4 linked regions of the Coturnix japonica genome follow. The protein of the gene in region 2 interacts with the protein of the main gene of each other region in a pairwise test. Links are inferred from orthologs where the notes say so. Each region holds a gene or a part of one and is shown on either strand. Other genes may lie near its edges. The genes, in order: RAP1A, RALGDS, RAP1B and RRAS2.

The links.
Region 1: the proteins of RALGDS (region 2) and RAP1A interact in a two-hybrid assay, tested with the Homo sapiens proteins (3 studies listed by BioGRID and IntAct). The link is inferred for Coturnix japonica from reciprocal best matches to the Homo sapiens genes RALGDS and RAP1A.
Region 3: the proteins of RALGDS (region 2) and RAP1B interact in binary tests that used the Homo sapiens proteins (3 or more experiments, as listed by UniProt). The link is inferred for Coturnix japonica from reciprocal best matches to the Homo sapiens genes RALGDS and RAP1B.
Region 4: the proteins of RALGDS (region 2) and RRAS2 interact in a two-hybrid assay, tested with the Homo sapiens proteins (2 studies listed by BioGRID and IntAct). The link is inferred for Coturnix japonica from reciprocal best matches to the Homo sapiens genes RALGDS and RRAS2.

What each region holds. Positions count from the first base shown.
Region 1 is NC_029541.1:3,384,052-3,388,967, reverse strand, and holds part of RAP1A (ras-related protein Rap-1A), read right to left. Parts: intron 4,601-4,916; coding exon 4,532-4,600; intron 3,647-4,531; coding exon 3,590-3,646; intron 3,477-3,589; coding exon 3,336-3,476; intron 1,564-3,335; coding exon 1,420-1,563; intron 1-1,419. UniProt on the Homo sapiens protein: Counteracts the mitogenic function of Ras, at least partly because it can interact with Ras GAPs and RAF in a competitive manner. Together with ITGB1BP1, regulates KRIT1 localization to microtubules and membranes.
Region 2 is NC_029532.1:5,335,683-5,340,727, reverse strand, and holds part of RALGDS (ral guanine nucleotide dissociation stimulator), read left to right. Parts: intron 1-33; coding exon of another isoform or gene 34-36; coding exon 37-230; intron 231-354; coding exon 355-429; intron 430-544; coding exon 545-738; intron 739-1,040; coding exon 1,041-1,162; intron 1,163-1,280; coding exon 1,281-1,496; intron 1,497-1,617; coding exon 1,618-1,721; intron 1,722-2,042; coding exon 2,043-2,127; intron 2,128-2,688; coding exon 2,689-2,766; intron 2,767-2,852; coding exon 2,853-2,939; intron 2,940-3,397; coding exon 3,398-3,430; intron 3,431-3,613; coding exon 3,614-3,735; intron 3,736-3,814; coding exon 3,815-3,910; intron 3,911-4,014; coding exon 4,015-4,216; intron 4,217-4,453; coding exon 4,454-4,780; intron 4,781-4,927; coding exon 4,928-5,042; intron 5,043-5,045. UniProt on the Homo sapiens protein: Functions as a guanine nucleotide exchange factor (GEF) activating either RalA or RalB GTPases and plays an important role in intracellular transport. Interacts and acts as an effector molecule for R-Ras, H-Ras, K-Ras, and Rap.
Region 3 is NC_029516.1:31,953,215-31,959,009, forward strand, and holds the start of RAP1B (ras-related protein Rap-1b), read left to right. Parts: upstream 1-1,974; 5' UTR 1,975-2,099; intron 2,100-5,795. UniProt on the Homo sapiens protein: GTP-binding protein that possesses intrinsic GTPase activity. Contributes to the polarizing activity of KRIT1 and CDH5 in the establishment and maintenance of correct endothelial cell polarity and vascular lumen.
Region 4 is NC_029520.1:14,531,520-14,537,203, forward strand, and holds the start of RRAS2 (ras-related protein R-Ras2), read right to left. Parts: upstream 3,554-5,684; 5' UTR 3,310-3,553; coding exon 3,205-3,309; intron 1-3,204. UniProt on the Homo sapiens protein: GTP-binding protein with GTPase activity, involved in the regulation of MAPK signaling pathway and thereby controlling multiple cellular processes. Regulates craniofacial development.

The sequences.
Region 1 (4,916 bases), on a different chromosome or scaffold from region 2:
CTCTTCTCACTTCAGCAACAAACTTCTTATGAACACTTTTTGCTGCCATTTGTTTTACCATTAATACCCATTCCTAGCAAAAGGAGCTTTGCAAACTTGCATGGAGTTGGGTCGTGGTACTGAACAGAACTACTTTGACCTCCAGAAAGCCCCACCCTTCTTCCTCATTTCCTTCCTTCCTGGAGCTGCTGATTGCTCACAAATTCTGGTTGATTCCAAGGAAATCCAAAAGACAAAGAAACAGGTTGGAACAGATTTCAATGCCTGGATATTTCACATTTTCTGCCTTGTATGTGCATGAAAGCACAAGTACCAAGTTCTATTGCTCCAAACAGAATGAACCCACGCTGCCTTCATTGGGTTCTGGTGTAATGAAGCGCACCTGAGCTACTCCTGCATATCCTTTGCTAAGATGCAAGATCCAGGTAGCAGGAGCAGTTCACACCCAGATGCTAAAAGTACAGATGACACATAAAGGAAAGGTTCCTGTAGGAGAAACCAACCAATAAGAAGCATTTTCTATTCTGATGCAGAACAGCTTTTCCATCTTTAAGCCTTTACAAGCAAGAGCCAAGGCTGTACAAAGGAAACCACCACGTGCTGGAGCAACATGTGGCAAAGGACACAACATCTCTCTGCTGGCAGATGAGGTCCCTGCAGCCCCATCCCTGCAGCACTGGGCATGGCACACTGGCTGCCAGAAGGATGCTGGGTCTGGGCCAAAACCCACTGCTTCTCCTTATCTCAGGCTCCTAAATGGTCCCAGTTATCTCCTGGCACCAAAGCTGCTCTGCTCAATGGGGTCACCTTAGCATTTGTGAATGGAAAGCTGGCCCCCGGCCCTGTCAGATAGCTCACAAGGGAGAATAAAACCTCAGTGCTGGATGGCAAGAGCCACGCGACGCTGGGCACACCAACGTGCAGAGGTGGTTCTCATTTAAACAAGGAAAACTGTGCAGATAGATCCATGTTTGGAAATGGGCTCAGTAAATCAGTGGCTTACCAGAGGAGGAACTGTGATGGGATGTCTGCTTGAGCAGCCAGATGTAGCAGGAATGTGAAAAGCAAATACTTTCAAAACCAACAGCCAATACTATGCAACACGACAAGTGATACAGTGGGGCATATCCACATTCAGAATAGCAGCAGTTGTTATCTTTAAAACGTGTAGAAGTTTATCTAAGAGTCATCCAGGTCACTCGGGACCCTCTGCTATCCATGCTCCCTGGAGGTGTTTAAAAACCATCTGGATGTGGTGCTCAGGGCCGTGATTTAGCAGAGGGCTGTTAGAATAGTATGGTCAGGTTGTGGTTGGACTCAATGATCTTTAAGGTCTTTTCCAACCTGAGCAATTCTATGATTCTACTCTACAAGGCATTCATGTAGAAGTGAGAAAGACAAGGTGCAGCTCATACTTACCTCATTAACATTGATTTTAGACTTTGCAGACGATTCTAGAAAGGCACAGTTACACCACTGTCTTGCTAAGTTTTGACCCTGTTCTTTGCCGACTACACGTTCTTCCTCCAGGTCACATTTATTGCCAACCAGAATCATTGGAACCTGGAGAAGGGATGAGCAAGAGGACGAGATGTGTCAGCAACATAATATACAACACCTACTGCCCAAGCAGTGCTGTCAATGAAATGCAGCTATGTGGTCCCAGAGCCCCAGCACACGGCCATCTGCCCATCACATCACAGTGCATATTGCATCACTGATGTATTTTATGCACAGATAAAAGGGCATTCACTACAAATAGCACTGAAACCATCATTAATAATGACTCGCTGATAATAACTGAAGTTTCTAATTAACGAGCCCTTGGCAGCTCAGCTCCCAAAAGGAGCTTCCAATAAATGCCACATTAAAATACACATTTGGTGCATTTTCAGTGTATTCAGCCTATATCCACAATGCAGACACAAGAAGTCATTTGCTCCACAGCACAGTGATGGCCGTCAGCCCCTCTCCTTCAGCAGCTGTTTCCCTTTGCTATACACACGTAGAAAAAACCCCAAACCCAAAGAGCTGCTGCTGGTGGGTGTGTGCCTCGCTCCATTTCCTGAAGCATTTCATTCTTTGAGCAGAAAATGAGTACTCTCCAGCTGGGAAATAAATCACCATCCACTTCCTTTGATAATTTCCAACACACTATACGCTTTCTAATCCACTTGAAAGTATTTGCAGTCTCTCCCTCTCATTCAGCTGCACTCAAGATTAATTTTTGTCTTTAAAACAGCCGTATTGAGCAGAAAACGACGGCACTTTTATGCTTAAGAAGTAAATTTTACTTCTTACATCAGAAAGCTGAAGGCACAAAACCCCCCTCAAAAGATCATTTCACATTAAGGCCAGGCTGGATGGGGGCAGCGAGAAACCTGGGCTAATGGAAGTGTCTCTGCCTGTAACAGGGGGTTGGGAACAGATGACCTTGCAGGTCCCTTCCAACCCAAACCCTTCTATGATTCACAACCATCTCAGCCCAATGCTCTCTCTTACACTCTCTCCTTCTGAACATGTTCAGCAAATAAAAGAAGGAAATGAAAATGAGAAATGATAGGGGGGAAAAAAAAGTGCTACTTAGTTGATTAATGGGACAGGTTTGAAAGATTCCAAACTTTTTATAAGGTTATTTCAGGATACAGTAATCAATGTGGAGCAGAAAAGGGAAGTAGAACAACTTGCTCTATCACTTCCTGTGTCATGTGAAGACTGGATTTAAACACAGACTAAGGTTAATGGTTTAAGTGCTGGGATGTTAAAAGCTGTGCCCTGAAACTTAAAAATGGAAGCCCAAAACTGAGCATGAAAGTTGAAGAGGTTCTGAGCCTTGGGTTGAACAAATAGGCTGGATGTGGCTCTGGGCAGCCTGGTTTGGTGGTTGGCAACCCTGCACACAGCAGGGGCATGAAACCAGATGATTATTGTGGTCCTTTTCAACCCAGGCCATTCTATGATTCTATGTGCCACCCCCTGGCACAACACCATAAATCCATTTTAGTGACTGAATCATTATTGGCAAATGTAACAGTGATTTCTCTTTAGTCTGAAGGAAATGAAGTCCTGCTAATGCACAGTGAAAGAGGAAAACACCAACACTAAAAAAGACTCCCACCATTTTGCTATCACTCCCCATCCAGACTGTCAGCTTTCCAGCAAACTCGAGATGTTGTTTTTAATGTCACAAACACTGCAGAGGGAACTCCAGCACAAAACTTGGCTGTGCAGCAATGAGTATTCCTAGAAAGACATTCTGCTCACGTACAAATTTCCACGTGCTTCATTCGGAAGATATGCTATTCATTTACAAAACCAGACAATGTTGTACTTACATCTTCAGTGTCCTTCACCCGTAAGATCTGTTCCCGTAGGTCCTGTAGGTCGTTAAACGTGGACTGTGCTGTTATTGAATATACTAGTGCAAACCCTTGGCCGTTCTTCATATAGAGATCCCTCATTGCTGTGAATTGCTCCTGGAGTCAAGGAAAAAGGAATGGCATTAATGCAGCTGATGGATGTTTGTGATGGAATAGCTTTGCTGTATGGAGATAAGGAGGTGCCAATTAGAAAAAGGGGTTACACTTACTGTCCCTGCTGTATCCAGGATTTCAAGCATACACTGTTGACAGTCTACCTCCACTTGCTGGGGAAAAAGAGAAAGAAACAGTTAAAAGTAAAGCCTCCAAAATGAGGCAGAAGAGAGGAATCTCAGCTTCATTTTTCACTTCTGCAACAGAGAGTTCTGCAGTACAGCACCTTCCCAGCACCATGAGAGGCTCTGCTATCAGAGCTCAGTGACACCCCCAGCTGGCACATGGGGCAGCTCCCTTGTACCTCTGCTCACGCTCAGGCCTATCAAACCTTTCACCATCTAAGAAATGCCTCTGACTCCCCGTGGGTAATTCTACGAAAGCTGAATAAATCTTAACAGCAGAGCTCAGAATTTATGCTTAATTATTGCAGGCATGAAGGCTGCAAGTTTTGTTTTCTGTTTTGGTGTCTTTAATTATGGCAACAATTATGCTAATCTGCTAAACAATGGGTTCCTTGACATCAATCCCAGAGAAGAAAGCAGCACTGTTAATAGAGCTGCATAACACCAGGGTCAGGGATCCTGACAAGGACTTCTGCTCAGCCCTGCGTGCAAAGCAGCTGCAGAGACTTTGTATGTGCCTTCAAACTAAGCAGAATAACACCAAGAGAAAGCAACAAAGACATCAGAGATCTAAAAGTTGTGCGAGCAACAGAGGTTAAGTTCTCCTATTAAATAGAGGTAAAAACAGCCAATTTAACAGCACCATTGGCCCTTTTCTTATTATTCAGCTATACAGCAGCTCATGCCATTGGGTTGGCCAGAAGCCTCAAGTTTGTGAAGTATTCTGCAAAGCCAAAGGAAACTATCTGTAGTTTTATGGCTCCATGATGCTCTCAGATACACACCTGGCTCGGTCTGATAGGCTTTAATAGCATTATTAAAAAGCAGTGAGCAGTGTGAGATGTGAAAGGAACAGAAACGCCACTACTTTACCTTTCTGTATGAATCTTCTATTGTTGGGTCATATTTTTCAACAAAAATTCCCTGAACAAACTGTACAGTCTGGGGAGAAAAGAGATGGAACAAAAATCAGGTAAGCAAACGGATTGTGATGGTAACACTTAACCAATAAGCACTTCACCAAACAAGGAGCAGCATCAAATCGCTGCTGAGAAAGTTCAGGTGGGGAGAAATGACATCAATTAGTGGTAATGTCAATTAAATGTTGTGCAGTCTGTCATTTCTTGAGCCACTTTGGGACTGCTGGCCTGTTGTAACACATGAGACCCATCCCTGAACACTCAGGCTCTGTATATGCATCACACTGACTCCCATTGCTCCCCAGTTTTCCTGGTCCCCTGGAAGGCACAGGAATTTC
Region 2 (5,045 bases):
CATCCACCCCGCTGACTTCTGCTCCTGTCCCAGCAGTTCGAGAACGAGTCAGCCTTAAACCTCTATGAGACGTGTAAGGTGCGGACGATAAAAGCTGGGACCTTGGAGAAGCTGGTGGAGTACCTGGTTTCAGCCTTCAAGGGCAATGATTCCACCTATGTCACCATTTTCCTGTGCACTTACCGGGCCTTTGCCACCACCAAGCAAGTGCTGGACCTGCTGCTTAACAGGTGAGGTGTCCGTGCCCCAAAATGCAGATAGAAGTGGCTGATGTCTGAGCATCCTCAGCCAGGAGAGCTCCAGCATCTTATGTCATGTCTTGGAGGTCTGATGGGCTTCTCCCATCCCCCTCAGGTATGGCAAACTGCACGTGCAGACAAACGGGGACCACGCCAGGCACGTTGTGGATGAGAGGATGGAGCTGAAGAAGTAAGTCTGACCATACTGGGGGTGACTGCTGTTCAGTTCTCGCATGGAGGCATGTGCTGTCCTATATGTTTCTCATGACCTCACCCAGCTCTCCCCTCTGTTCCTTTCCCCATAGCACCATCTCCTCCATCCTGGGCGCCTGGTTGGACCAGTACTCAGAGGACTTCCGTAAACCCCCAGACTTTGCCTGCCTCAAGCAGCTCATCTCCTACGTGCGCCATAACATCCCTGGTTCAGACCTGGAGCGCAGAGCCCGCATCCTCCTGGCCCAGTTTCAGCAGCAGGAGCAGAGCGAGACTGAAGCAGAAGGTGGGGATGGTTCCCTGCTCATGGGGATATCAGGGTCTGTAAGGAGCTTCAGGTGTTACCACGTGGCTGGATGTGGAGGTACACAGGGAAGCTAATCCAGCTGAGATAGAAGTGGGATTTCTAAGTGGATTGGTTAATCTGCCTTTAATCCTCTGCAGACACTTGCATCCGGGTTAAATACGCCTGTGTGTTTATCTGAGCCTTATGCTGAGGTGTGAAAGCAGAGCTGCTGGAGGTGGGATGTGGTGTGGGATGCAGTGGGGTTCTGTGCTGCAGGGCTCAGCTTTGTGCCATCTTCACAGCTGTGGATCACGGTGGCTGCACGTTCCAGCTGGTGGAGGAGAACGGGGTCGGGGATGGGAAGTCAGATTTCCTCTCCTTCTCCCCTGAGATGGTGGCAGAGCAGTTCACACTCATGGATGCTGTGAGTACTCATTCAGCACAGGGTCAGTGCTGCTGCTCTGGGCACAAACCACTGTGTTCCCTCACACACCACTCCATCTTTTCCCCTAAGAGACCCATCCCATCCCTTTATCTTCCAGGAGCTGTTTAAGAAAGTGGTGCCTTACCACTGCTTGGGCTGCATCTGGTCCCAGCGAGACAAGAAAGGCAAAGAACACCTGGCACCCACCATCCGTGCCACTGTCTCGCAGTTCAATAGCGTGGCCAACTGTGTCATTGCCACGTGCCTCGGGGACCGGACCCTGAAGCCACAGCAGAGGGCTAAAGTGGTGGAGAGATGGATCGAAGTGGCTCGGGTAGGACAAGTGCAGCCCCATTCACTTTGCCCAGGGCTGGGGGTTTGTGGTGTACAAATCAAAGCAGATCCCTTGGCTTTGTTTAACATCAAGCCCTGCTGTCCCCTTTATCTGCTTTCAGGAGTGCCGCATCCTGAAGAACTTCTCCTCGCTCAGAGCCATCCTTTCAGCTCTGCAGTGCAACGCTGTGCACCGGCTGAAGAAGACCTGGGATGAGGTCCTGCGGTGAGCAGCACCTGGGGGTCCTGGGGGTGCTGGGTGGTCTCAGGGGGTGGCTGTGCTGGAGCTGTGGCCCTTCAGTGTATAGACAAGAGATGTGTAAATGGGATCATTGCGGCTCTGGCATTGCCCAAAGCCAAGGGATCTGAGGAGAGTGAGGAAACAAAGGCAGTACTGTCTGCTTCTCCTTTCCATCTGAACACCCTGGAATAACCCCAGTCAGCAAGGCCTGCTGCAGCTGTGAGCTTTGCTGGGGTCATTTGGGTGCGCAAGGAAGAGACCCAGTGTGGCACCATTGCTGACTTCCTTGTCTTTCCCCCCGAGCAGGGAGAGCTTCCGCACTTTCCATGAGCTCTCAGAGATCTTCTCCGATGAGAACAACCACTCCTTGAGCCGGGAGCTGCTCATTAAGGTATGGGGCACCTGCAAGTCCTGACAAGGAGCTTGGGCTGGTGTTGGCTGAAAAGGTCCCTGTTGTTCCATCTGCCAGGCAAACTGGGCATTCTGCTTTTCTACCCCAAAAGCTGTCATTGCATGAAGGTCTTAAAGCAGTTGAATGGGTAGAGATAAGCAGTGGGATATGGTCTGGTGCACCTGAGGATGGCCTTTAACCAGATGCAAAGTTCAGCTCTCCATAGGCCTCCTGGGTTAACATGGGGCAGTGGGGTTTGGGAAAGGCTGAAGCCAGGTGTCCTCACAGCTTTCCAGCTCCAGACTGGGGGCTGAGATCACATGAAATACAAAAGGGAACAAAACAGCCCATTGAAGAGCTATTTATACAGAGAGCTGGAAATGGGAGCAGCACTTCCTATTCATTAAGCCTCTCCTCCCTGTTTAGCCCTGAAAAAGCTCAGCTTAGATTTCCTTCTCTTCCCCTCATTCCCTCTGCGAGGAAATGGCAGCAATAAAAGTGGCTGTGAATTTTAGCTCACGTTTTCCACTGGTGCTGATGTTGTCTCTCCCCACCATCCAGGAGGGCACGTCCAAATTTGCCACCTTGGAGATTAACCCAAAGAGGGCCCAGAAGCGGCAGCAGCAGCAGCGAGAGATGGTGAGTGGGTGTTTTCACATCCCCATATCCCTGCTGGGTGGCTTCCAGCTTTCTGCTGACCTCAGCCGTCCCTCCCTGTCCCCCAGGGTGTGATGCAGGGCACTATTCCCTATCTCGGCACCTTCCTCACGGACCTGGTGATGCTCGACACCGCCATGAAGGATTTCCTGGATGTACGTACCTCCATCTCCATCCTCCTCCTTTCCTTCGTGCTTAGACATCCCCATAGCCTGGCAGTTCAGTGTGGAGGGTTGATCCCCAGAGCACTTGTTGCTGTCCCTTTGGGCATCCCATAGCCAACACTGCCACCCTATGCATCCCATAGCCAACGTTGTCCCTATGCATCCCATAGCCAGTGTTGTCCCTATGCATCCCATAGCCAATGTTGTCCCTATGCATCCCATAGCCAACGTTGTCCCTGTGCATCCCATAGCCAACGTTGTCCCTGTGCATCCCATAGCCAACACTGCCACCCTATGCATCCCATACACACCCCGGCAGGCTCTGTCAATGGGCCGCTCTTACAGCGCCCCCTGGTGGGCATGGCGTGCACTGCAGCCGGAGCGGAGCTTTGTCCCTCCCTGTCCCTGCTTCCCGCTGACACCCTTCTTTTCTTCTCCTTCTTTTGCAGGGAGGGCTGATCAACTTTGAGAAGAGAAGGAAGGTGAGAGTTTGCACGGCTGGGTGGTGGGAGGTGGCTGGCGTTGTGCGAGCCCAGGCTCTGCCAATCTCTTTGGGAGGAGATTCTGGTCCTTCCTAGGCACCTTGGTGCATTGGGTTGGGCTGTTTGCAGAGGGTTGTGGGGCTGTGGACAGAAAGGGGTCATGACCATCTCTGTTGGATGCAGGAGTTTGAAGTCATTGCCCAGATCAAGCTGCTTCAGTCAGCCTGCAACAACTACAGCTTCACTCAGGAGGACCATTTTGTGGACTGGTTCCATAGCCTGGAGCGGCTCAGTGAGGCCGAGAGGTGAGTGCAAGCAGGGCTGTGCTGCTGCTGGTGCATTGGAAAGCTACAGGGAGCTCTGAAACCTTTATCTCTCCCCCAGCTATGGGCTGTCATGTGAGATTGAGCCACTGTCCGAGTCAGCCAGCAACACACTGAAGGCAAAGAAGAACACAGGAATCATCAAGAGATGGAGCGAGTGAGTCTGTTTGCCCCAGTGGGACCCAGTTGGAGACAAGGGTCAGTGCCATCATGTCCTTCCCTGGGCCTGCTCTCTTCTTACCCTCTCCTATCTCCCTGCAGCCGGCAGCCAGCCAGCACTGAGCCCTGTGCCAGTGGCAGTTCCCACTCCAAGTCCTTTGACCAGCTCAAGTGCGGGCAGTACCTGTGCAGTGGGGATGCCACTGACTCAGTCAGTGTCACCTCTGCTGGTTCCAGCAGCTCTGATGTGGAGGAGATCAACATCAGCTTCATCCCTGAGTCCCCCGACTGCCAGGAGAAGAAGGTATGGGGCAGCTTGTGGGGCTCCTGAAGCAGGTGCTCCCCTCAAGAGGGAATGGCCCCTGCTTTGCATGGGGGCTGGGGAGCTGGGGGCTGCTTCTGCCCTGCTGGAGCGAGGGAGGCCCCTGCTCTTTGTGGTGGAGCTGGGCTTGCCTTGGCACAGCAGGGTCTGGCAGCTCTGGTGGCTGTACGTCCCCTGCTGGCGCAGGGCAATGAGATCCCTCTGGCCTCCCTCCCCCAGCACTCGTACACCCCGTCTGTGGCTGATGGAGAAGCTAAACCCACTGTGTCCTCCGCATCCCCTCTCCTCCCTGCCCTCCAGTTCTGGGAATCCACCTCTCTCTCCTCCCTGGACACGTCAGGCATCGGCTCAGGCTCCAGCAGTGCCTCATCATCCTCCGTCTCCTCTACACCAGTGACAGCATCCCGCACTCACAAACGCTCCGTCTCCGGCATCTCCAGCTACTCGTCTCTCTCGCTGCCCCTTTACAACCAGCAGGTGGACGACTGCTGTATCATCCGTGTCAGCCTGGCTGTGGACAACGGCAACATGTACAAGAGCATCTTGGTTAGCACCCAGCACCCACATCAATTTCAGGGTTGGGAGGCTTGTCATGCTTGGATGCGGGCATGTCTGACACTGAGAGGACATGGAGGTGGGAGATGTTACGCTGTTTTGTGCAGTATGGTGGTTAACAGTGCTGTGTGCTCATAGGTGACCAGCCAGGATAAGACACCGGTCGTTATTCGCAAGGCCATGGCCAAACACAACTTGGATGGGGACCGGCCTGAAGACTACGAGCTCGTTCAGATCATCTCAGAGGAGAGAGGTG
Region 3 (5,795 bases), on a different chromosome or scaffold from region 2:
AGCCAGTTTAAGGGTTGTGCTGAGGATTAACCAAACAATTCATAGGAAAATCCAAACTTAAGAGCCTGATTTACATGCAAAATACGCAGTCCAGACAGTTAGGAAAAAGGAATTCTCGGCCTCTCTCACTCAGAGTGGATCTTAACTGCGTATTTCTTCTAGTTACAGTGTTCAATTTTCAAGTATGCCTGCTCTAAGTAATCCATATGTGTATATATGTATATATACACTTATTCTAACATAATGAGTTTCAGATTCCCCTGTGAAACCCAGACACCAAGACCTGCTTGCAGGAGACTCATCCAACTCCCAGAGGCCCCTTCCTGTTTTCTTGTTGCACAGCGAAGAACAATACTTACCACACTGCCTGTAAGGCACAGGGCAATTAAAGGCACACTGCAAAGTATTACTTTGGCAATGGCACTCATCTGCTCTCTGAACACTGCTTGTTATTTGGGATTAATCTAGGTCACCAACAAAAGTTGGGAGAGCAGAGGATACATCTTCCTGTTTGTTCTTTTTATTGGTGTCAATGATTATTGCTGGGAGCTGATAATAACATCTAGTGACAAAGAAGTCTGAAGAAACCGATGTTGCTTCTGTTTGGTGAGTACATAAACTTCCCAGCCAACCCAAGAGATGTTCTTCTGGTTCACAGTTTAGACAGACACCATCTATTTCAACATCTCTGCCCCACAACGGATGCCCTGCTGAAAACCAACTGCATTTCTGCACACTCGGCTTCTCGCAGCATCAGCTCTCGTGTATTATCCATCATTTACGGGGATTCATTATCAAAGTACTGCATGCGGGCTTAAGCTGCACAACACCAAGAGATTTGTCTGGACTTCGGAAGAGAATTTATGACATCTAGGAATTAAAAGAAACGTGTCACTTTCTTGGTGCTGTGAGCCTCGACAAAGCTGCTCCTACCAAGGCAGCACATCCCAGTGGCTGCTCTGGCTCCATTGGCTCCGACCTCCAGCTTCTCCCACACACCCACCCCACGCTGTGTGTCTCCCATTTTAGCCAGGCCCTCTCCATCGTGTAACGGGGGGGAAATGTCATCGCTTTTTCCCCTTTTCTATCTCTGTGCCACAAACGGAGCGGCCCTGCTTCCTCCACACCCACTCCCCTTGCTGCAGCTTCCTGTCAGCCCTGCACACCACGCCGCTTCCTCTGGCAAAAGTTTTATCTGTGCTCACTGCGTTAACTGTTCACTTCCCACACACACTGAAACGGCTATTTCTAACATCTGGCGGTTAAACTCTTTCCGACTGGAAAACTTTTCTGGACTCTTTTCCTGATCTCTAAGGTCCCTTCCAACCCACACGAGACTATGAGACTATGAGACTGTGATACTATGACTGGAAAAATTAAAGTGGTGCTCAGGGAGAGTTAAAAGTGCCTTATGTTATTTAATGGTGAAAGAAAAGAAAGGATGGAGAGTGTATGTGCAGGATGTAACATATTGTACGTGTGGGGCTGATGAGGGCACCCAGAGGTGTAGCAGCCCATGGAGTAACAGCCTATAGCAGAGTGCCACATTTCCAAAGTCCACGGATCTCAGAACCCTTCGCCACGAGTGCGAAGCTTCGGAACCTCCCCTGACACGGCTGGGAGGCCCAGGCTCATTCCGTTCAGGCGCTGCATCCCCGGGTACCAACATCCCCTCTCTCTCAGGGGATGCGAGCTCCCAACCCGCCACACCCAGGCCGGCCTCCCCCGCCCCCTCGTTCCCTTCATGCCGCGGGGAGACAGCCCCACAGCGGCTCGCAGTCAGCCCATTGCCGCCCGAGGCCGAACACACCCCGTCGCCCGGTGCCGGGCCGCCCCTCAGGGCAAGGGGGGCCAAGCGGGCGGGGGCAGGAGGGAAGGGGCTGGGGAGGGCCCCGCGCCTGCGCGCTGGGGGCGCGGCGCTGGGGTCAGCCCACCCCTCCGCACCGCCCCCGCCCCCGCCGCGCCAGAGCGAGGCTGGGCGTGCGGCGTCACGGCGACGGCCCCAAGCCGCGCCCCAGCACAGCAGCGAGCGGCAGCGGGCGGAGCGCAGCGGGCTCGGCCGGCGAGGCGGCGGCGGCGGGGAGCGGAGGCGCTGTCCGGTAGGAACGAGGGCGCCGGCCGGGCCCGTGGGGGGTGGCGGTGGGGTGAGGTGGGAGAGGAGGAGGGGGAGGGTGTGAGACGGGGAGCGGCGCGACGAGAGGGAAGGGGCAGGAGCCTGGAACATGGCGGAGGAGGAGTCGCCGCCGCCCGGCCTGAGGCGCGGGGCAGTGCGGGGCCCGGCCATACCGCCCGCTGCCCGCCGCAGAAGTTGGAGCGGAAGCGGAAAGTTGTAACCCCGCGGCTCGGGGCCGCCGGGGAGGGAGGAAGAGAGACGAGGGAGGGGCGGGTGCCGCCCGGCCGGGGACCAGGTCCCCGCAGCCGCCGCCGTTGTCAGCGGGAAGTCCGAGCCGGGCCCCACCTAGTCCGGCCGCCCGCCGCCGCTTCCGGCCGCTGGGCCCGGGGGGGGCCCGCCCGGCCTCGGGGGGTGCGGCCACAGCGGGCGGCCCCGCGAGGAGCGGTCAGCGGGAACTGCCCCAGTGAACAACAGAAAGCACCAAGGGTGGAGGGGAGCCGAGAAGCCCCAGGCCGGAAGGGACAGCGGTGTTCATCGGCACGTCTGAACTCCGGCGGCGAAGCAAATGGAAGAGCTCGAGGGATGCTGCCTGCACCGAGGCAGCGGAACGCACACCCCCACCTCCACATCCCCCCCAACCCCCCAAAATATATATATATGTATCCTCCCATCGAGATATATGTCCAATAGAAGCGAAAGTAAAGTTTTCAGAGGGATGAAATGAAATCAGAGTGTTTTGCGCTGTCCTCGGATAACAAAAAGAGGGTATAGCGCAGCCAGGCTCCTGCAGAAGCCATCAGTGTGCTCTATCTGCCCTTCTGTCTGGAGCTTGTTCCCCCTCCAAGCAGTACAAGTCATCCTTGGGGTGTGACAGGGTGCTGCAGCTCCAATAAAAAGGATATTTCAGAGATGCTCAGCTTGAAAATTGCGGTTTCTGCATGTGTTCCTGCATTTAGATGTTTTCATTAGTGGGACTTGTTATTTCCAGCACATAGCAGCTATATTTTATCCTAATACGAAGTACGTAGACGGAGAATGGCAATGACTCTTCAGCACTCTTTTGTGGCAAAATGTGCACTGAAATCACTGTTACAGAAAAGAAGGAATGAAATGCACTTCCCCCCCCCCCCCCTAATAAATTAGAATTAAAAGGCAAAGCAGCAATCATCTCATTTTATGTTAGTAATCGTTCAGAGATAAATTTATTTCCGTTTTGAAAGTGCTTTGCAGAAGACTTGAGAAAGCAGTCCAGCGGTCTGCTTTTTGGCCTTTTATCTGTACTGAAATCTCAAGCTTTTGGAAAACAGAAGTTAATTTCTAGAACACTCAAGAGGTTTTGCTTTATTCATTACTCCCATCTCACTCCCAAGTCTGTGCTGCAGACTTCGCTCGGCCTAAAAATGGGCTGAGTGTGTAGTGAAGGATGCCTCAGTTGCTCACATCAAAGGCTTTGCAAATAAACTTCCTAAATAATAACACGCAGTGTTCTTTCCCTGTTACCTGTGCATTTCAGAGATGTTCCACATACTGGAATGAACTGCTTAAAGTTGAGCTTGCAACTATAGTATAAGGCTTTGCAGTTCTCTGAGTTGCTCCGTGTGCTATAAAGGTCACGTCATGTATTTGATTTTTTGTGGGTTTCCTTTTTTTGCTTTTCTTTTTAGCAAAGCTGATGGTGCTCGAAGCACCTGCCTGCCTGGGGGTGCTGTAATGTGCAAAACAGAGTTGAAAGACTGTAAGCTTAAAAACAGAACTTGTGTATGAAAAAGACAAACGGTCTTTTGTGCTGCTTGTAATTGGGCGTCTTGCTTCTGTTACTATATACCTTCCTCGGGTTAATTTTCTGAGCAGTATTAAAACTCTGTGATTTTTGTTCTCAAGTTGTTGTGCAGGGCAGTTCATCAAAAATAAATGTCAGACGAGCCATGACAGCTTTCTTTGTGCTGTGCTAGTTTTGCAGAGCGCAACCGACTGACTTTTTAATTGAGCGCCTTTCTGGAACAGAAGCAGATGGGAATCTAGGTGAGAGCCTCCAAAAGGAGGAAGAAATTCCTGAGGAAGGAAGTGTGCTGAAGACGACTTAGCTTGTGATCTAGCACTCAGTAAGCGTGGGAGCTAAAATAAAAGGCTGTCCACCTATCATCTGCAACATGAGAAGTGCAGGAGTCACAGAAGTACTCGGGTGCTCAGCACTTCACTGCTGTGGTGTGAACCCTGTTGTCATAGAGCGCTGCTGGCTGTTCAGAGAGCTGCTCGTGGGAGCAAGGATGTTATTTAGCTCAAAGCACTTCTGGGGTGTGTGGTAAGAGTGGGTGCTCTGAGAATTGCCCAGTGATGCTGAGGTGACCTTCAGATACCTCGCTGGCTTCTAAGAGTGCTCTAATTCTTCAGAGCACGTTCTGCAATTTCTCTCAAGCTTTTTATGAGTTTTAATCAAAATTACTTCTTCAGTAAACAGAACACTAAGTATTCCCCGTGCAACAAAAGTTTATATTTAGCTTGTGGTTGGAAGCGGTGCCACTCTTCTGCCTCAGAACAAGCGCCAAAGCAGACTGAAGTAGTCCGTATATTATCGGTGTGTTGAGTCCCTGCTGAGTTGGGGCAGGTTTCTGCCGTGCTTTGTTGCATCTAGGTCAGGTGGAGGGATTTTTTAGTCAGCCTCCTCCTTTGAAGAGATGGAGAGTATCTACAGAAACTACATGATACCGTTTGAAGGCAGACATTGTTTTCCTGCTCATACATGGTTGAGGTGGTCTGTTTCCATCATAAAAAGCAGGAAAAGGGGAAGGCCTTCTTTTTGAATAGGGGACCTGCTTAGTAGTTGACGGCTCTCATAATTATTCAGTGATTGGGTGTGGGAGAGCTTGAGCATCTCACTGGATGTGTCTGATGTATCAGTTTTGTCTCAGGGCCTGTCAAACATAAGAAAACTGAGCGGGATAGGCACAGTAAAAGTTATGTTCTTAAAAGTCTGTGATACTTTGCTTGCTGTAGGCAGGCAGAGTTTGGAGAAAGTCAGAGACTGGGTGGCACAAGTCATTTCTTGACAGAGCAGCTGAATGGGGCTGCCTTCAGTAGTGGCAGCGAGCACTGGCCTAGGGCCCGCATCTCCCTTGCTTTAGAATACCCAAAGAACACTGGGCAACTCAAAGGCCTTTTTCTCTCTTTTTTTTTTCTTTTTTAACTGTGTGCACCTCGTTTTGAATGCGATTGTAAACTTTTGACGTTCTGCACAGTCTTCTGGCGGCAAAGAAGGGGAAGAAGGCTGTACACACCAGGTTGGCAACCTGCCTCTCAGGCAACTTGTGAAATACAAAGTGATTTGGGGGCCCTCTAGCTATTCAGAACGCTCTCTTTCCATAGGCAGTGTTTTTAGCAGTAGTCTTTATTGCTGAAGCAGCAGGGTGAAGGTACTGTAGAGCCTATGGAAAAGTACATAGGGGAGCTAAAGGAACTTTCTTAGAGTTGAACCAGGAAGAAGAAGCAGAGCTTGGCAGTATCTACTGTATTGTTCCATTCAGCTTTCTAGTTATTAATCTAAGGAGTTTATGTCATTTGAAGTAAGTCCCTGCTATGCAGCTATGAAAAGAGACTGCCAATTACAGTACACATGGTTAGTTCATTCTTGGCCAAGCGAGGAAGGCCGGAGCATAGTGCAGAAGTGGGAAAGCCCATCCCTTCT
Region 4 (5,684 bases), on a different chromosome or scaffold from region 2:
TGAAGGAACTGCATCCAGTCAACACCACCTCAAGGTTTTTAAACCAACACATTCTCTGGAGATATTCACCCTTGGGAGCCACTGGAGGCTGCTCAGCATACAAACACAACAAAACCTTCAACATTACTAAAAGGAAGAAGAATATGATGAATTATTTTAACAATTTTGACCAAGGGCAGCCACAGCTTCGCAGAGCAGATACTTGGACACATAGAACGTCAGTGGCATTCCTGCTGTGTGCTGCTGAAACAAGCAGTGCAGCGATCCAGCTAACCAAAAAAAGCATGAAGTAAATGGCAACTGCAGGCTAAGAAGTATGCAGAGGGTGATTAAGTACTTGCGAGCTGCACTCCCTTTAAGCAAGGAAACCTGAATATTACAAAGGGCTGAGTTGGAAGGGAATGTGGGGTATTTTGTGACAGACCTCTGCATGACAGCTGGAGAGAAGCTATTGCAGCAACAGCTGTGTGCCCTGCACGGCTCACGCTCCCAAATGCCTCAGCTGCCTGCAAGAAAGGCTTCTGCCTCTTTGGGGATCTCAGTGTGATGGATTATTTGTTTATTTTTTAACTAAGAGTAGGAATGTTTAGCTCCGGCACTTAGATTTAAAAGACTGTGGCATGAAGTTGAACTACCATTAACCAGGGCTTTCCTAAGGTTTATGACTGTGGCAGGGGCCATCTACTCCACAATTACAACTTCTCCACTTCCTGTCCTAACAGCACGCAGACTGGACAGCAGAAAGTTCATATATCACATCCTGATTTAGAGGAAATGATTGTGAATTTCCAGGATGAAATCCCATCCCACCAGCACTAATACCCAGCTCTGTTTATCTCCCTAGAGGAAGGGCTGAGAGGCGCACACCAGTCATCACACACCGACAGCCCTCATCTGCAAATGTGCACCCCACAGCTTCTCCAAGAGTAAGAGGAACTTCTGAACAGCTCACATGCAGTGGAAGAGCTTTGGCTGCAGGACCAAAACAGTGCTGTTTCAGCCCAAATTTGAGCACAACAACCACCAGGAACCGATGCTCTCATGCAGGATGCTGCACCCAGGACAGGAGGCTCCAGTGCCCCTACAAGGCCCAACCTCACACCATGCCACCACCACAAGCACTAAGCAATGCAGGAGGGATGCACTAGGCAGGCAAATCCCAGGGCTGGTGACAGAGAGCCACCCAGCTGGTTCTGCCTGCAGCCTCGGTTCCTCTTCACTTATTTCACCATTCACCAAAGGAAACCATTTCCTATTTTCAGATACAGATCTCCCCTTAATCCTCCAAAGGAGGCAACATACACCAGGACACGTGCTTTCCCACCACAGCTGAGCACAACAGCCCTGTTTACCTGGAAGCAACCAGCCCTGAAGCACAACTGCCCAAAGCACTTCTAGTTAAGCACAGGGAAACAAATCTAAGCGGGAACTATTCACCAACAAGAAGTGTTCCTCCTTAAGAGCTTCAGAACTGAGATGGTGACAACCACACTTTATCACGAGCAATAGCGATGCAAAACAGAGCTAAAATCCCTCAGTGACATCAAGCCCTGTCGTGCGGCCAAACCTAGCGCTGAGCCATGTTGTAGCGAGGCAATGACGAGTCTGCCACTTAATCCTGAGAAATTCCAGCAATGAGGCATGTGACTCGCTTGTAATCAATTTTAAAACAATTTGGAAAAGTTTCTACACAGTCCTGAAAGGAAAACAACATGTTTGGCAATACATTTACTGCGCAGGAAGGACAGCGATGGCTGCACGGCATCAGGCATACTTGACACCACCACAAGGTGTAAGAGCTCAGTAAAATATCCTCTCCAAGAAACAACACATCAAGCTTTATTTCCTATCATCCATAGCAATGCAGCAACTGCAGAAAACACACGACACCAGTCCCTAAGGCACCTGAGGCTCTGCACAGAGAGGGTCTTTATTCTCCAGCTATTTCTCAGGTTGTTCAGAGGCCAAGTTTTCTGCTAAAGATCACTTTGCCGTGGCAAGATTTCACATCAAGATAAAGCAACTGAGAGGGCAAAACAATGCAGATAATGTAATACAAGCTGACAATAAGCTGTTTTGGAAAATTCACTCTCAACACATCAGCTCAGCCCCACAGTGCTGTTCTGACACCACTCTTTTAAAGCTAAACGTCGCTTTCTCAGCTAATAGAGTTCCTTACATGGGACAAGGCAGACACGGGCTCCCCATTCACAGATTTCCTCTGGAAGAGGGGTGCAGATAGCAGCTCTTGAGCCAAAGCTTTTACTTCTATATGTGTGCAGCTTGAGTTCTGTTTTAATAAACTTTCAGTGCGCGTGCCTGCAAACTAATACAGCACTTCACAGAACCTTTCTCTCCTCCTATGCTAGAAATGACTATCCAAAAGCCATACTACAGCCAGGGACTCCACAAACCTATCCAGCAGCGCTTTCCAAGACAGCGGCGCCGGAGAACGGGCCTCCAGCCTCCTCCAGCCACACATGCTCCTCTCACACCAGCCCGGATACCCACAGGCACACCCAGGCAACACCATCCAAAGCGACCACACCGTGTTGCGTTAGCAGCGCTCCGAGCCAGTTGCAGTGGGTCAAGGAAGCGAGCAGCCCCCAGAGCAGCAGCAGGGATGGACCCGCTCGGCCACACGCGGTACCTACTGCTGCACAAAGCTGCGCAGACAGCAGCCGGTCCCATCTCAGCGCACCGTTCGCAACAGCTTCCCAGGAAGCCAAGCTCTTGAAGCCGCAGCTACCTGCGAGCCCCGAGCTCAGCCCGAAGGCACGGCACCGAGGTAAGCTAAAGCGGTACGATAGAGGGGCAGACCGAGGGCCCTCCCTCGCGAGGCACCTTTCCCCGTAGCCTTTCAGGAGCCGCAGAGCAGCACCGAGGCAGTCGTGCCGCCCGGCTCACCCTGCCCTGCCCCGCCGCCGCCCGCAGGGACGCGCTTCGCACCCCGGCGCCGCCCCACCCGCACGGCGCGGGCAGCGCCAGGCCGGAGGCGGCGGCCACCCCTTCCCTCCCGCGGCGCCTTCCCGGGGGGCCCCCCAAGGTCACGCCGCCGCCTCCCGCCGGCAGCACGGGGCGCCTCCGGGCCTTCCTCCCCCCCGGCTCCGCTCGCCGGGCAGCGCCCAGGCCCCGGCGCCGCGGCCGGGCGGAGCGGAACCACCCCGGCGCCGCGAGACGGGCTGCCCCAGCGCCGCGCCTCACCTGGATGAACTGGATGGTGAGCGCCGACTTGCCCACGCCGCCGCCGCCCACCACCACCAGCCGGTACTTCTCCTGCCCCGGGCCGTCCCTGCAGCCCGCGGCCATGGGGGAGCCTGGGGGAGCCGAGCGCGGCAGCGCCGCCAGGTCCGGCGCCTCCCTGCCCTCCGCCGCCGCCTTCCCTCCCCGCCGTCCGCCGCCCGCTCGGCTCCGAGCGGCCCCGGGCCCCGCCGCTCACGGAACGCGTGGCCGGCACAGCGCGAGTAACGGAGCGCCCCGCCGTGCGGCAGCGCCGAGCCGACAAGAGCAGCGCCGAGCCGAGCGAACGGAGCACCGCCCGCCCCCGCAGCCACGGCGCCGCGGCTACAAATGGCCGCCGGGGGGCGGGGCCGCCTCATCAGCCATGCTAATGAGCGCTAATACATACATGAGGGGGCGCGGCATCGGCCGCAGGAGGATCCCTCCCGGTCCCGTAAGGCCGGGCTGCCCCTCTGCGGGATCCTCGAAGCCGCGTGTCCCGGAGCTGCCCTTACCCCGAGTCACCACCCCGATGTCACGGCCGCCTCCGAGCTCTCGGCACGGCTGGACGTCTCTGCTCTCCTCCGTCCTAAGTTTGGTTTGTCTGTCTGTCTGCTTTTAATAGAAATGCAGCGAGGAGCTGTCAGCGCAGTGACCGTCCAGCCCCGCTCAGGGCATCGCCGAGTTCCGGGAGCTCAGCGGTCTCTGTGCAAACTATTGTAACAGGGTATCGGGTTCCCTCGGTGTGAAGATACAGAGAAGCGAACGCCTTATTCTAACCTTATCTTTTAAGCTTTCGGTTTCAAATACATTGTTTCAAAGAGCTGCTGGAGCCGCTGAGGCCGTCCAGTATTTGAATTCCACTTCAGAGGAAGGTTATCAGAGTGGACATCGAAGGCTTAAAACAAGTAACACCGGCATCCATTGCTTTAACAATGACTCCACTGTGAAAACCTGTTACCGTTAAATTCTTTGTGTTGGTCATTACCCAGTTTGACAGATAAAGCAGTAGATAACAGAAGAGATGGGCAGTAGCAGGTGAACAGTTTGTGTGACTGATAGCTGTATCCAAACAGCACCCAGGAGAGACCCAGCAACTCTTGCAGCAAGGCCCGGGTTTGGGAAACCATAAAAACACAACATGGCTTGGGTTGGAAAGGGCTTTAAACCCATCCAATTCCAACTCCCAGCCATAGGCAGGGCTGCTTCCCACCAGCTCAGGCTGCCCAGGGCCCCATTAAGGCTGGCACTCCTGAATGGGGCACCTACAGCTTCTCTGGGCAGCTGTGCCAGTGCTTCACCATCCCCTCTATCATAGAACGGGTCAACTCAAAGCATCAAGACGTGAGATGGTGAAAAAGTGGCCAAAGTTTTGGTGCAGCGATTGAGAAGTACAACTTTTAGAGCAGTTACATGACAAGAGGCTGAACCGTTTCAGATCCAGCCTGAATATACATGCTTGAAGACAGACAGTATCAAGAGCAGCATCCAGATGGCAAGCTTAAAAGAGAGAGCACCCCGGTGCTTTATGTAATGATGGAAAAAAAAAAGGTTTCAGGAAGTGCTTGGGGGGAAGATCCAGAACTTTGTTTTGCATTGGCAGCCTGGGAAAGATGTCAGCGCTGAGGGTTAGAAGACTTCTATGCAGTAAGTAACATATTGAAGCTAAAAGCGCTCTGTGAGAACACGATTGCTTAATTAGAAAGGAGCCTGATCGCAGGCTTATCACAGCAACAAGTTACAAAATCTCTGGGATGTGAGTCAGCATGGTAGATTTCTGCAGGAACGCTAAGTTTCCCTGTGAATGTAGCATTATACACAGTCCCAAAGGCAGCACTTCTGTATTGACCTTACACAAGTGCAACGAGCATCACTTTACAGATGCCATGACCCCCAGGAACATGCATGTTGCAGTTCCCACCAAGAACATGATCGGAGGAGATGGGCTTCTCACAGCTGTGAAACAAGAAGCTGGGGGGGGGAAATAAAACACAACAAATTGCTTTTCTTTGGGATGAGAATGGAAAACCTAATCCAGAATGAAATGTGCAATTGTTTTTTTCCAAGTATATTAAAAAAAAACATTGTTATGATTATGGTTACTTTAGAAATTCAGGTGTGCTATACCCAATAGAGAAATCATCTTCTTGCTTATCAGTCCACTCTGGCATCGCGGCACCAATGTCCAGTGTCCTGGGACAGCAGGTGAGTGCATCTCAGGGGCAACAAAACACAAACCACAAGCCACATCTGGATTTTCTTGACCAGAAAGCGAGCTATCAGTGCACACAGGCACACAGTGTCCCACCATACAACTGGAGTTTCTTCCCTGCACATGAGACAAAATTACTGTTTTTTTCATTACCATGAAAGGGCAAAACGCTGCTGGCTGAGAGGCAGGATAACAAAAAGACAGTTCTGGCATAGGAAATGCCTGGATATTCAAAACAGCATCTGAATCTCTA